2 linked regions of the Drosophila melanogaster genome follow. The protein of the gene in region 1 interacts with the protein of each later gene in a pairwise test. Each region holds a gene or a part of one and is shown in the gene's direction. Other genes may lie near its edges. The genes, in order: CG2247 and CG14151.

Region 1 (7,690 bases):
GATATCCACGGCTTGCTCCAGAGCCGCCTTTTGACCAGCGCTCTTCTGCACCTGCGACATGGTGAAATTGTTGTCCAAGTCCGAGTGACCGGCACCACCCTTCTTTGTCATCAGCTCCATTTGGCGTTCGTACTCCTGCTGCTTCTTTTGCTTCTTTTTCTCCTTGTGAGTGAGTTTCTTCTCCTTGGCTTCCTTGCTCTCCTCGAACTTGGAATCTACCTCAGCATCGGCTTCCTCGTCGGGTTGGGGTTCAGACTCGGGTTCGGGCTCGGCCTTGGGTACCGGCTCAGGTGTCTTTTCCTTGAGACTTACTGCCGCCACTTTTTCGCTAAGGACTTGCTCCACTTTCTGCTCCTCCACTTCCTTTTCGGGCTGCTTCTGCTGTTCCTTTTTTGACTCCTTGGCCGCCTTGTTGGACAGCTGTTCCTTCTCCTCCTCTTCGCTGTCATTTGGCAGATCATCGGCAACCTCATCCTCCTCATCATCGCTCATGGCGAACATGTTCTTTTGCTGAGCCTGCTGCTTCTTCTTGGACTTCTTGGAGGCTGGCTTGACAGCAACCACTTCCACCTCATCCTCCTCATTGTCCAGGTCGTCCAAGTCCAGCTCCGGTTTATCTTCGTCCGAGAAATCGTCGTTCTTCTTCTTGTTCTTCTTGTTCTTTTTGCTGGGCTGTGGCTTTTTAGCAGCTGGCTTGGATGCCAGAGGCGCCTCGTCGTCATCTTCATCGTCCAAGTCGTTGGCAGGCAAACTCTTCTCTGGCTTCTCATCCTCGTCGCTCCAGTCATTATTCCTCTTGCCCTTTTTACCCTTCTTGGCCTGCTTTTTGCCGGCAGTCTGCTGTTTGCTCTGATTCGATGAGGCTATGCTCTCCAGATCCTCGTTGTCCCGATTCCTGGTCGTGACATCCTCGTCGCTGGAGTCGCCGCCGCCACCTCCTCGCTTTCCCTTCTTACCACCCTTCTTGCTTGTCGGTGGCTTCTTCTCCTGCACTTTCTCCAGCTGCTCCTCGTCGTCATCAAAGCGCTCCTTCTTCTTACCCTTGGCCTTGGACATGTCTGTGAACACATAGGGATAAAGAGATGCTATTGTATGGCCTATAGTACTTGCATTTAGCGCTTGGACTCACTTGATTTGATCACAGATTACAACAGCCGCCCTCGGATTTCACGTGCAGAGCTGGCAATATGTAGGTGTATATATGTAGGTGTGTAATGTCGCTATATACATATGTACAACCAGTTGTGTCGCCAGGGATGATTGCACGCGATATTTTGTTGTTGGACTATCGATGACAGCACATGGAACGAAACTGTGCGATGGAAAACCCGTTAGGTGTCTCCAAAAATGGCAATTTCGATAAACGTGTCTTTTAGTATTTAAGTGTTGAGATAAATATAAATATATATATAAATATATGTTAAGACATTCGTTTGAATAAAATCTGTGATCTCAGTGAATGTATATGCCGGTAAGTTTTAAAACATATCATATGCTAAAATTTGGTATTTACATGTGTTAGAAAATCCTACAACTCATTCGATAGTATTGAATAATCGTTGTCGAGATTTTCCATCTAACCGAATAATTGTGTGAGTGGAAGTCGACAAGTTAAGTACGCTTGTAGGTTCGTTTTATATTTCCGAAAGAAGTTGTCGTGTTCAGTGTCTTTTCAAGTGAACTTTTTATTTCTTTTACAAAGGTAAGCTCAAAAATTAAAACAAAATTGTTGAGTTCTACATGATTTTGACACGGTTAGCTGAACAATCCGGTGCAGATTTAATAAGCGTCGCATCCACACACACACTTACTTGCAACGCAAGTTCGCGATACGCCGAAGAAGCGGCAAAGCATAGGCTGAAAACACAGTAACAAAGCGAAACGGTCCGAAAGAGTGATAGTAAATTTAACTTAAACGAGAAAAACTGTGTACTTTGTGCCGGCGAAAGTGCAAGAACCCGCTATTCAGTTTTTTCGTATGTGTGCGTCAGGTTTCCTCTCGATCAACAATTGTGGCGATCAAAGCAGAAACGTAAAGAAAACAAACCGCGAAGCCGCGCAACCCTGACACTCGCATAAATTTACATGTGTGTGTGTGTGTGTGTGAGTTGTGTGCAGATTAACCGGCAGAATTCGTTTATTGTAAAGTATTGTATTAAAAAGGGCTAACTCTGATTAGAATTTACATCGCATACTTTTTAAATTAAATGACTTGACAATAAAACGTCGGTTGTGGAAAAAGTGACAACCCAGGTCTTCAGGGTCAATATTTTTGACAGACGAAATTCCATTGAATTGTTTGCCTATCGGTTCCATAAGTGATCACTATTAATGTTTTATGAGAACATATACAACATATATCTAGAAACTTAGCTTATTTTTTTGCACATCGATTCCAGAGCGACATGGATGTGCCCGATGACAATTTTGGGCCGTCAAAGCCGTGTGACAAGCAGCCCTTAGCTGGCAACTCTAGCAGCGCTACCAATTCATCGTCGCATACCGGTGGTAACGGTAACGTTGATTCCGCATTCGAATCATCTACAGCTGCAGGACCTAGTTCCGGCGCCAATCAAAGTAGCACAGGCGGTGCTATAGATGAACAAGGTTCCATTGGTGAACAGAGTGCCGGCGTGGGACAAAACATTATTGAGGGCGACTTGCTGGTGTTAAATGCCAATTCCACAAACGTGGATCTTTCGACTCACCGGGATGGCTCTAGCTTTAAAGACTCGAACACTGAGCAGGGAAAAAAAAGTAAGCATAAATAAATAACCAGCATCTGTAGCATAATAACACATCTCATCTAAACCCACTTAGGTACTATGATTAAGACTTCAAAGACATTAAATGACAAGAGTCAATTTGAACGCCGCAGACGCCGTGGCCGTCAACGTGAACGTCATCGTGAGCCCAGCACGCATCGTGACGATCTTGAACCGTGCGATTTAGGTCTAATGGGATGGACTGGAGAATTCCCAAAGCTAACACCCATATCCAACATCGAAAGCAACTCGGATAAAGAACCGCTGGTGAGTAGAGGGGATGGCGATGCTGTCCAGGACACGAGCTGGCCTGCTGCTGTCTGTTCAAGCTTATAGAACATACCTCTGTATACTCATGTTCAATCCACAAATGGGCTAATTTGAATATCCCTTTCGGTCGGTATTTATTCACAAATACACATAATTAATCAATATAATTTGAGTATAAGTTTATTTTAAAACTTATACTCAAATTACTTTTACCTGTAAAGTAAACTTATGTAAACATAAAAATATTGTAAATAATCTTGGGACGGAAATTTGCATAAATCGAAAGAACTTAAGGTTATTAGATCCCCATAAACTGTTTTTTGACTATTTTTCCAATCAAACTTGGTAACTGGTATACAGAGGTCTATGTTGTGCGGACATCGTTTTGTTTGTTCTATATTATTGTATTTCTCAACACGAAATCGTATCTGTGCTTATCTCAAATCTCAACCAAACAATACACAACATGCACACTACGGCAATAGTCGACGGCCAAGCCAGGTGTACTGCCATGGAGTGGCCTAAAGGTTTTTCCGAGAGTGGAACCACAAGAGGAGACAGCGGCAGGTACAACAAAGCCGGCTCATATCACTAATAAGTCTGAGGAGCAGCAGCAGCAGCCGTCTCTAACAACGCCGATAATGACGTCGCCACTCGACGCCTCCCAGGGGGAATTGGATGCAGCCATTAAAAGCCCTTTGAACGCAAAAAAAAGTCCAAATGCAACTGGTATTGCAACAACATCCAAGTCCAGTACAACACCAACCAACATGCAACCATCAGACTTATACAACCAGGTGGAGACCCTTAAAAAATCTTATGCTAAGAGTCGGAAATTTCACAGATTTACTAACCATTGATCTTCTCTCCCTCTTGTATCTTCCCCCATAGGTTGAAGATAAAAAAGAGGATACCACCAAGAAGCAGGCGGAAGCTGATCATACCTTGCACAAATCACTTAAGGACGCTCGCATCGTAAAACGTTCTATGTCCACCCATTCGCCTCCGGAGCATTCGCGTCGTTCAGTGCGCTTCAGTAGCCATACGCCTCTGACCGATGAGACGAACATAATGAAAGAAACATCCACCGAAACCTCTTTGAAAGTTATTTTCGAACGCCTAAAGCAAACTGGCGTAGAGCGAGATCTCTTTATACCCAGCTCCGAAAATCCCAGGCCTCGCAGCAATGGTAGCCCGGTCCCAAAGGTGGCGGAGATGGAACATGTGGCGGTTGTGAAGTGCAAAACGGTGGCGAAGCAAGGGGCGGTGGTGAAAGGCAAGGCTGGGTTGGCCAACCCGTCCAACGTAATGCCCCAGACGCCTGCCTTAACGGTCACTGGAAAGCGAGTGTCGAAGCCCAAGGTGCCCAAAGGGGCAAGTCCACCGAGTGAGGGCTGGACCTCGACCAGGGCGGTTAAGGGGAATTCTCGGGCAGACTACACCAACAGCAGCTCGTGCGGTTCACCGATTGGTAATACCAACATTCGCAGGCGCAGGTAGATATATTGTATATATATACACATATCAATCTCTATATACTCGGTATTTTCATGTCCAGAGCTCACGCAAAGGCAGCCCCTGATAAGTCAAAGCCTTGTGTGCGCTGCGCGGCTTCTGTTCATCCGTCTGGACCTAAGTTGTGCAAGGTAATTTACGAAATGCTATTGGAGATTCACTGGCTTATAATATCCTCTTTCAGAAGTGTATCTATGAGAAGGGATATGCCAATAAGAAATGGATGAAAAAGACTGGAGGAAATGAGGATCATTATGATGATGACGATGACAGTGACTTCAGCATGATAGAAGTCACTTTGGAAAATGAAATATCCGTTCAACAGGCGGAGAAAAAGCAGTTAGAAAACGTGAATAAGCAGACCGTTATAAAGGAACAAGAGGTTGTTGTAATTGGAGGGCGCAAGGCTATAGCCATCATAGCCGATCCGATTGGTTGCAATCTGAAAGTGTGAGTCGGTTTAGTTCCAAGACCAACGCAAAAAACCTACGAAACGCACAGTTATTTATATGTTTTTCCTCAACTTATCAGGATTCCAAACCGGCAGAATTTGGCTGGCCTTAAAAAGATCTCAAAGGACAAATGTAGCTCCAGTTTGGTGCAGAGCCTGGGCGATTGTCACATCGGATGCCAGATAGTGATGGCCGTTATGAAAATCATGACGATGAAGGTAAAATGTCTAGGTCATCGTAAAATTGAAGTTCGTAATCCCATCCCATCCCATATAGGATCGTGTAAATATGGCGCAGGTTTGCAAAACATGGGCCATGATCAGTCAGGATAAGAGTGTATGGCGCACAGTCATGCTACGCGATACCCATATCAGCAACTGGCCGCGATTTATCCGTGAACTCGCAAATAATTGCACACGCGAACTGGACATGCTGGGCGTGATATTGCCGAATCCTCCGGATATTCTCGCTACACTCGACATTAGCGTCCTGAAAGCATTGCGTGTTCTTCGCACTTGTCCAGTAGATGACCAGTTCCTCTTTAAGGTCTTTCGTGAATTGCCCCAACTGCTGGAGCTAAGGGCAATCTGCTACAGTCCAACTTTTAATTTTTTAAATTTGGCACGACAATGGTCTAAGATTCGCGTGCTTCAAATCTTAATGACGGACCACAGAAGCAAAGTGGAATCACTAGACTCTCTGGGCGACCTGGTGCATCTAACTGAGTTGAATATACGTGGAGTGAATTATATAGGCTCGCAGGACTTCCGCTTCTTGAAGAAACTAGTTAACCTGAAGGTGCTAGTGTTGTCTTCATGCCAGGGCATGGATACCGAGGAATTTGGCCAGCAAGTGCTGCCCTTTTTAACGTCTCTACGCAGGCTCCGCTTGGAGAACAAGCACATGATCAATACCACTTTTCCGCTGTACCACATTATGTGTGGTGTAGCCGCTGCTTGTTCGGTACAGCAACTGGAGCTGGTGAACGTCGAGGTGGATGACCTTCTAACTTCGTTGATTGGAATGTGCACCACTGTTACGCACCTGTTGCTCGTCCCAAAGTGTCTTCAAAATTCGGCCAACGTGATCTATTCCGTAATGCGGGCCGTTCGCGAGAATGCCTCGCAGCTTCGCGTGTTCCGCCTAGGATTGGTTACCCAGCTGTTGAGTGCAACGGGTGAGCTGTACAGGGGAAGTAAGAAGGATGTGATCCCCGTGGAGCGCCCTGTACCGGGAATTCCGCTGGACGATGACCTTAATTATTGTGCTCCCGATGACCGTTGCATTGAAACGGACCACACGGAATGCGTTACCTTTCTGCCCGCCAAGCGCTTGCTGATGATACTGCGCGATGTGGCACCAACAACATTTGTTACGTTTGTTAAGGTGAACATGTTCAACAGCACCATGGTTACCTTCCTCAAACGGCCACAGTTGAAAAACAAGTAAGAACGTTTAACGCACTAGTTATTCCTAGGTGCCATAAGTTAGCTCATATATAAGCCCTCCCAGTAGCAGAGAATGCCAAGACTGAGTCTTCTCGAGAAGCATCACCTCCGAACACCACATTTAAACACACTCTCAACAATATCTTTGAACGACATTCAGTACATTACTTTGTCCCAAGCTGTGAACGATGCAATCAAGCGACGCTGCTTACAAATTGACAGCTTGTAATGAACAGAAAAGAAAAACATGTAAACATAATAAATAAATGGGTTAATTGCTGGATCATACTAAATCGACTTAAACCACTGTTTTGGGAAGTGAACTATAAATTTCACTATAAAAATATAGTACTTATGTAAGATTGCGTGTAAGTAGTTCTGCCTGGTCTTGCTGGTCCTACGAAGGCAAGATCAAAGTTGTACTCATTACATTTGAACATGAATGACACAATTAAAAAAATAAAAATCATACGCAAAACACCCATCTTCTTCGTACAAAGACATTGTTTTTATTACATTTAAATATATAAGATCTTAATAATAAATCTCCAAAAATATACAGTACACTTTGTTTAAAGATATTTCTCGTTTTTCTTGAAAAAAAAAAAATGTCAACGAAATGTGTAATACAAATGCAGCTCTGAGTTTTGTTCTCCGTCGACATTTCGTTGCGCCGCGTCGCGTCATGTGGATCGAGAATACATATAGTAAAATAATTTTTGCTTTTGAGTCGAATAAATGATCCGTATTTGAACCGAAATGAATAAAAACTTCGAATGAATTCGCTTTGCGTTTTTATTGATTGAATATCAGCTTAAGACTGAAACAAATGGTGTGAGAAAATCTTAAATGTACTTGGTTAGTGGGTTGTTTACTTGATCTGCGCGAGAGCGCTTCTTGCTTATGCTTTTGTGCATACATATGAAAAAGAATTCTTATGTGCTACGTGGCTATGTATGTGCCTGCCTAGTGTCTGGGTTTTGGTTACGGCTTAAGTGGATGCGCAATATCGAGTAACAAGGAATCGATACGGCGGACCACCGCGGTCGGTCTTTTGTATAAGAGAATTATGAGGAAGGCATAATTACGTTACTATATATGTATGTATGTATATAAATATATAAAAATACGTACGACATGCTTGCACCACTTTCGGATTGGGAATGAAGCTGACATGGCAAGTTGTAAAAAAATAAATTATTTTTGCAGCTGGCATAGGCACATGGTCAGAAGAAATCCT
Region 2 (3,225 bases), on another chromosome or scaffold:
TAAGTATAATTTTAGTTGTTGAAAGCGCCTGCATATATTTCATACATCGGTACTATCAGATTATGGATGAATCGAAAAAGAAGAGGACCCTATGTTGTAAGATAGCTTTAAACTAATATTACATTTTACTACTAATCGATTTTATATAGGTGGCGGAAAAAACGAAAAGAAAAAGTCTAAAAGCCCAAAAAAGAAGAAAGGCAAAAAATAAGATCTTTCAACTTTAGTTGGCTTTGTATTTCCGTACTAAAAAAATATATATTTATTAGATTGTTTCAAACATTTGTGTATCGAATAAATTTATTTCTTACAAAATGTCTATTGAATCGGGAGAGCTAAAGTTGCCTACGGATAATCTCCTAAGGACATGCTTTGTTATTGGCGCTTTTGAACTGGTGCGTTCATTGTATTTTTCATTTAGTTCAGTTTCACTCATGGTCTTGCACGTAAGTATTGTATTTGAAAAGAACGTTCTTTAACATTTTTAGCCATTTATTGTTTTGCATTAGACGAATTGGTATACCATAATGGCCTTTCTAAGTACAATAGCTTGGATTGCGACCGTTGGTGGACTGTTTGTTGGTTTATTGACAGTAAGAATTAAAAAAATTTACCAACTATATACATATTTAACTGTTTCGTATTAATTAGAGTCGACCAACTCTGCTCGTATTTTGGTTACTGTTCACTGCCTTTGCAACTGCTACGGATATTATTTATTTAATATGGAATGTTACTTCATCTCCTATTTTCGACGCAGAACATTTAAAGCGCTGGACCATTTCATATTTGGGAATCTGTATGTTTTTAATTTAATAGCATTCTTAGACATTGAATTATAAATCTTTGCAGTTTACGAGGTCACTTGCTTATACTTGGTATTCAGATACTTTAGGAGATTATATTCCTACGTCCTTTTGGAGGGTGATAATTATGATACGACTACTAAAGGTGAATAGCTTAAGCACAGATTTATACGATATACTATACATAAATTTCAGATAGAAAAACAGAAGATTACAGAGATAATGAGACTCAAACCCAATCTCCAAGTTCAAAATACAGGACTTCTGGAAGATCTTCTAAAGGATAAAATGCCAGTTTGGACAAAAACAGCAAAAAGCTTGATTAATAATGATCATTTATGTTCGTTTCATTATGTTCAATGTCCACACACGGTTCAAAATCCCTTTGGAGTTACTAAAATAAATTAAAAATGGTTTTCTTCATGTGTTATTTGGATTTCTATTTACGGGAAATCAATTCCCGACCCCCCATAAGCAATGATAATAATTGACTTATACAGTTTTCCATCTATTTTCCGATGCCTGCGAGGACGATAGGTGGTCACGTTGCCATCGAGGGACCAGGAAAAAGGACAATTCAATCTCCAGGACCTGCTGACAAAACAAATGCCATAAATGAGGAACGAAGTTCGCCAGCAAAAAGCAGTTCACATTGGTTTAGAATGTTTTGGGAATACACTTGGCAGCTATTTTTAGAGCTCAGTATTTGAATGAAGAGATTATAAATGCATGTAATTTAGATGTATAAATTAAAACGGAAATTACAAAAAAATTCATGAAACTAAATATAATTCGCAGGAACATTGAACTTGGCATATATTGAAAACTTCTGTAGTGTATTGTACTTTTGGCCACTGAGTCTCCCTACATTCCCACGCTTGAATACCACTGTGCTGTGTCCATGAATGTTGGCAATCAAACGGCTTTGATTAACAGGCCGCCAAGACCCGAGTAACCCCCTTCTCCAATCGCCAAGTACGTGCTTATCATCATTATAGCTTTGATTTAGTAGACAACATTGCCAGTGATGTGATGAATCTTAGCCTGGGCGATGGGGTCAAATTCTGATGGATATTTAGTGCCCTGTGCCTATTGCATCGCCTTGCTGGACTTCATATCCGCCCTGCTATTCGCAATTATCTCAGGAGTGGTATTTGCCAGGCATGTAAGACAATTAGGCCACAGTCCTTTCAGGGAAATTGTGGCTCAATTTTGGTATTTGCAGGGTCATTGGACCGCCTTGGTTGCACTGATCTTCACCATTTTCTGGATGGTTATAATCATAGTTTTGATGGCGGGTATCTATAGGCGAAAACTGGGACTGGTACGATTCTGGTTGGTGTTCACCTGCTTGGGAATACTTCTAGATGGATTTATACTGCTCTACGGCCTGACCTTGGCCATATCTGTGAACTGGGAAGGTGTCAAAATCACAGTGCTGCCCTTCGTAGGACTGGGTAGGTCTAAATAATAATTAGCGTATTTAATTTACTGAATATATAATTGAATTTCCTTTTAGCCGTGGAAATGACTTTTGTCTATATCATATACCTACTTTATCTGGATATGATTGATTACAGTGCAACAGAAACGCCTCCCGATGAGAAGTATAGAGAAAGGAGTGGCTGTGATGTGAAATACGCTGAGGAAGAGGAAAAGCCACTGGATCGCAAGGATCTGAAACGGATGGAAAAACAAGCCAAGGAGCGTATGAAAAAAGATAAAGCCGTTCTCAAAAAACTTCAGAAACAAATGCGAAAGTGAAGGTATTAAGTGTTTAAAGTATTGATTTTTATATTTTTAAAATAAACATGAAATTGAATGCATTGATTTGAACTTTTCTTTTTGTCTGAGACAAGCTCTTTAACTTTTATCACACGCAGGATGCGGACCACTCACACCTACACAAGCCACTCACACACACACACACAAGAACGCCAATGTTAAACACAAAATCCTTTTAAAATAATTTGCTCAGCAGTGAGTAAAGAAAAAATCTAGAGATACAAATGCAGCTAAACGAATTCGAAGAGTTGCATGCCCTGTAGATAAATAATATATTTTTAATATTTTTACAAACTTGTCTTTTAATATTTTAGCTATAAAATAAATATATATAACCCTTCATTTTACGTTGTTGAGCTGCTGTCTGAAGGTCTGAAAAAACCCATCTTCATTGGTTGTGACGGAGAGTTTTTAACTATTTTTCCCCTGCTATTTTGGTTTTGAATAGGTCTTTTGGTTTCGCCATAATTAAAATGATGCCTTTGGTGACTGTGTTCTCTTTCATAATCCATACAAGCTTCCTGTTGTGCTATTTTTGTGGCTATAGCCTTATGACAGGCTTGGCAAAAGGCCAAAGTCACGTAGAACCGTTGAACGATGTATAGAAAAATGCACTCCACAACTGATAGAAAAA

What was found.
Region 2: the proteins of CG2247 (region 1) and CG14151 interact in a two-hybrid assay, tested with the Drosophila melanogaster proteins (one large-scale study listed by BioGRID).

Annotation. Positions count from the first base shown.
Region 1 is NC_004354.4:11,605,544-11,613,233, reverse strand, and holds CG2247 (uncharacterized protein), read left to right. Parts: upstream 1-1,581; 5' UTR 1,582-1,702; intron 1,703-2,399; 5' UTR 2,400-2,405; coding exon 2,406-2,757; intron 2,758-2,820; coding exon 2,821-3,032; intron 3,033-3,520; coding exon 3,521-3,832; intron 3,833-3,926; coding exon 3,927-4,531; intron 4,532-4,593; coding exon 4,594-4,681; intron 4,682-4,734; coding exon 4,735-5,000; intron 5,001-5,081; coding exon 5,082-5,220; intron 5,221-5,278; coding exon 5,279-6,451; 3' UTR 6,452-6,944; downstream 6,945-7,690. Other genes in the region: CG1703 (uncharacterized protein), read right to left, coding at 1-1,056.
Region 2 is NT_037436.4:10,627,086-10,630,310, reverse strand, and holds CG14151 (uncharacterized protein), read left to right. Parts: upstream 1-1,826; 5' UTR 1,827-1,857; coding exon 1,858-1,971; intron 1,972-2,031; coding exon 2,032-2,263; intron 2,264-2,325; coding exon 2,326-2,570; 3' UTR 2,571-2,631; downstream 2,632-3,225. Other genes in the region: CG42535 (uncharacterized protein), read left to right, coding at 16-96, 150-211; CG42536 (uncharacterized protein), read left to right, coding at 315-446, 510-593, 652-799, 853-951, 1,002-1,093; CG34238 (uncharacterized protein), read right to left, coding at 2,936-3,213.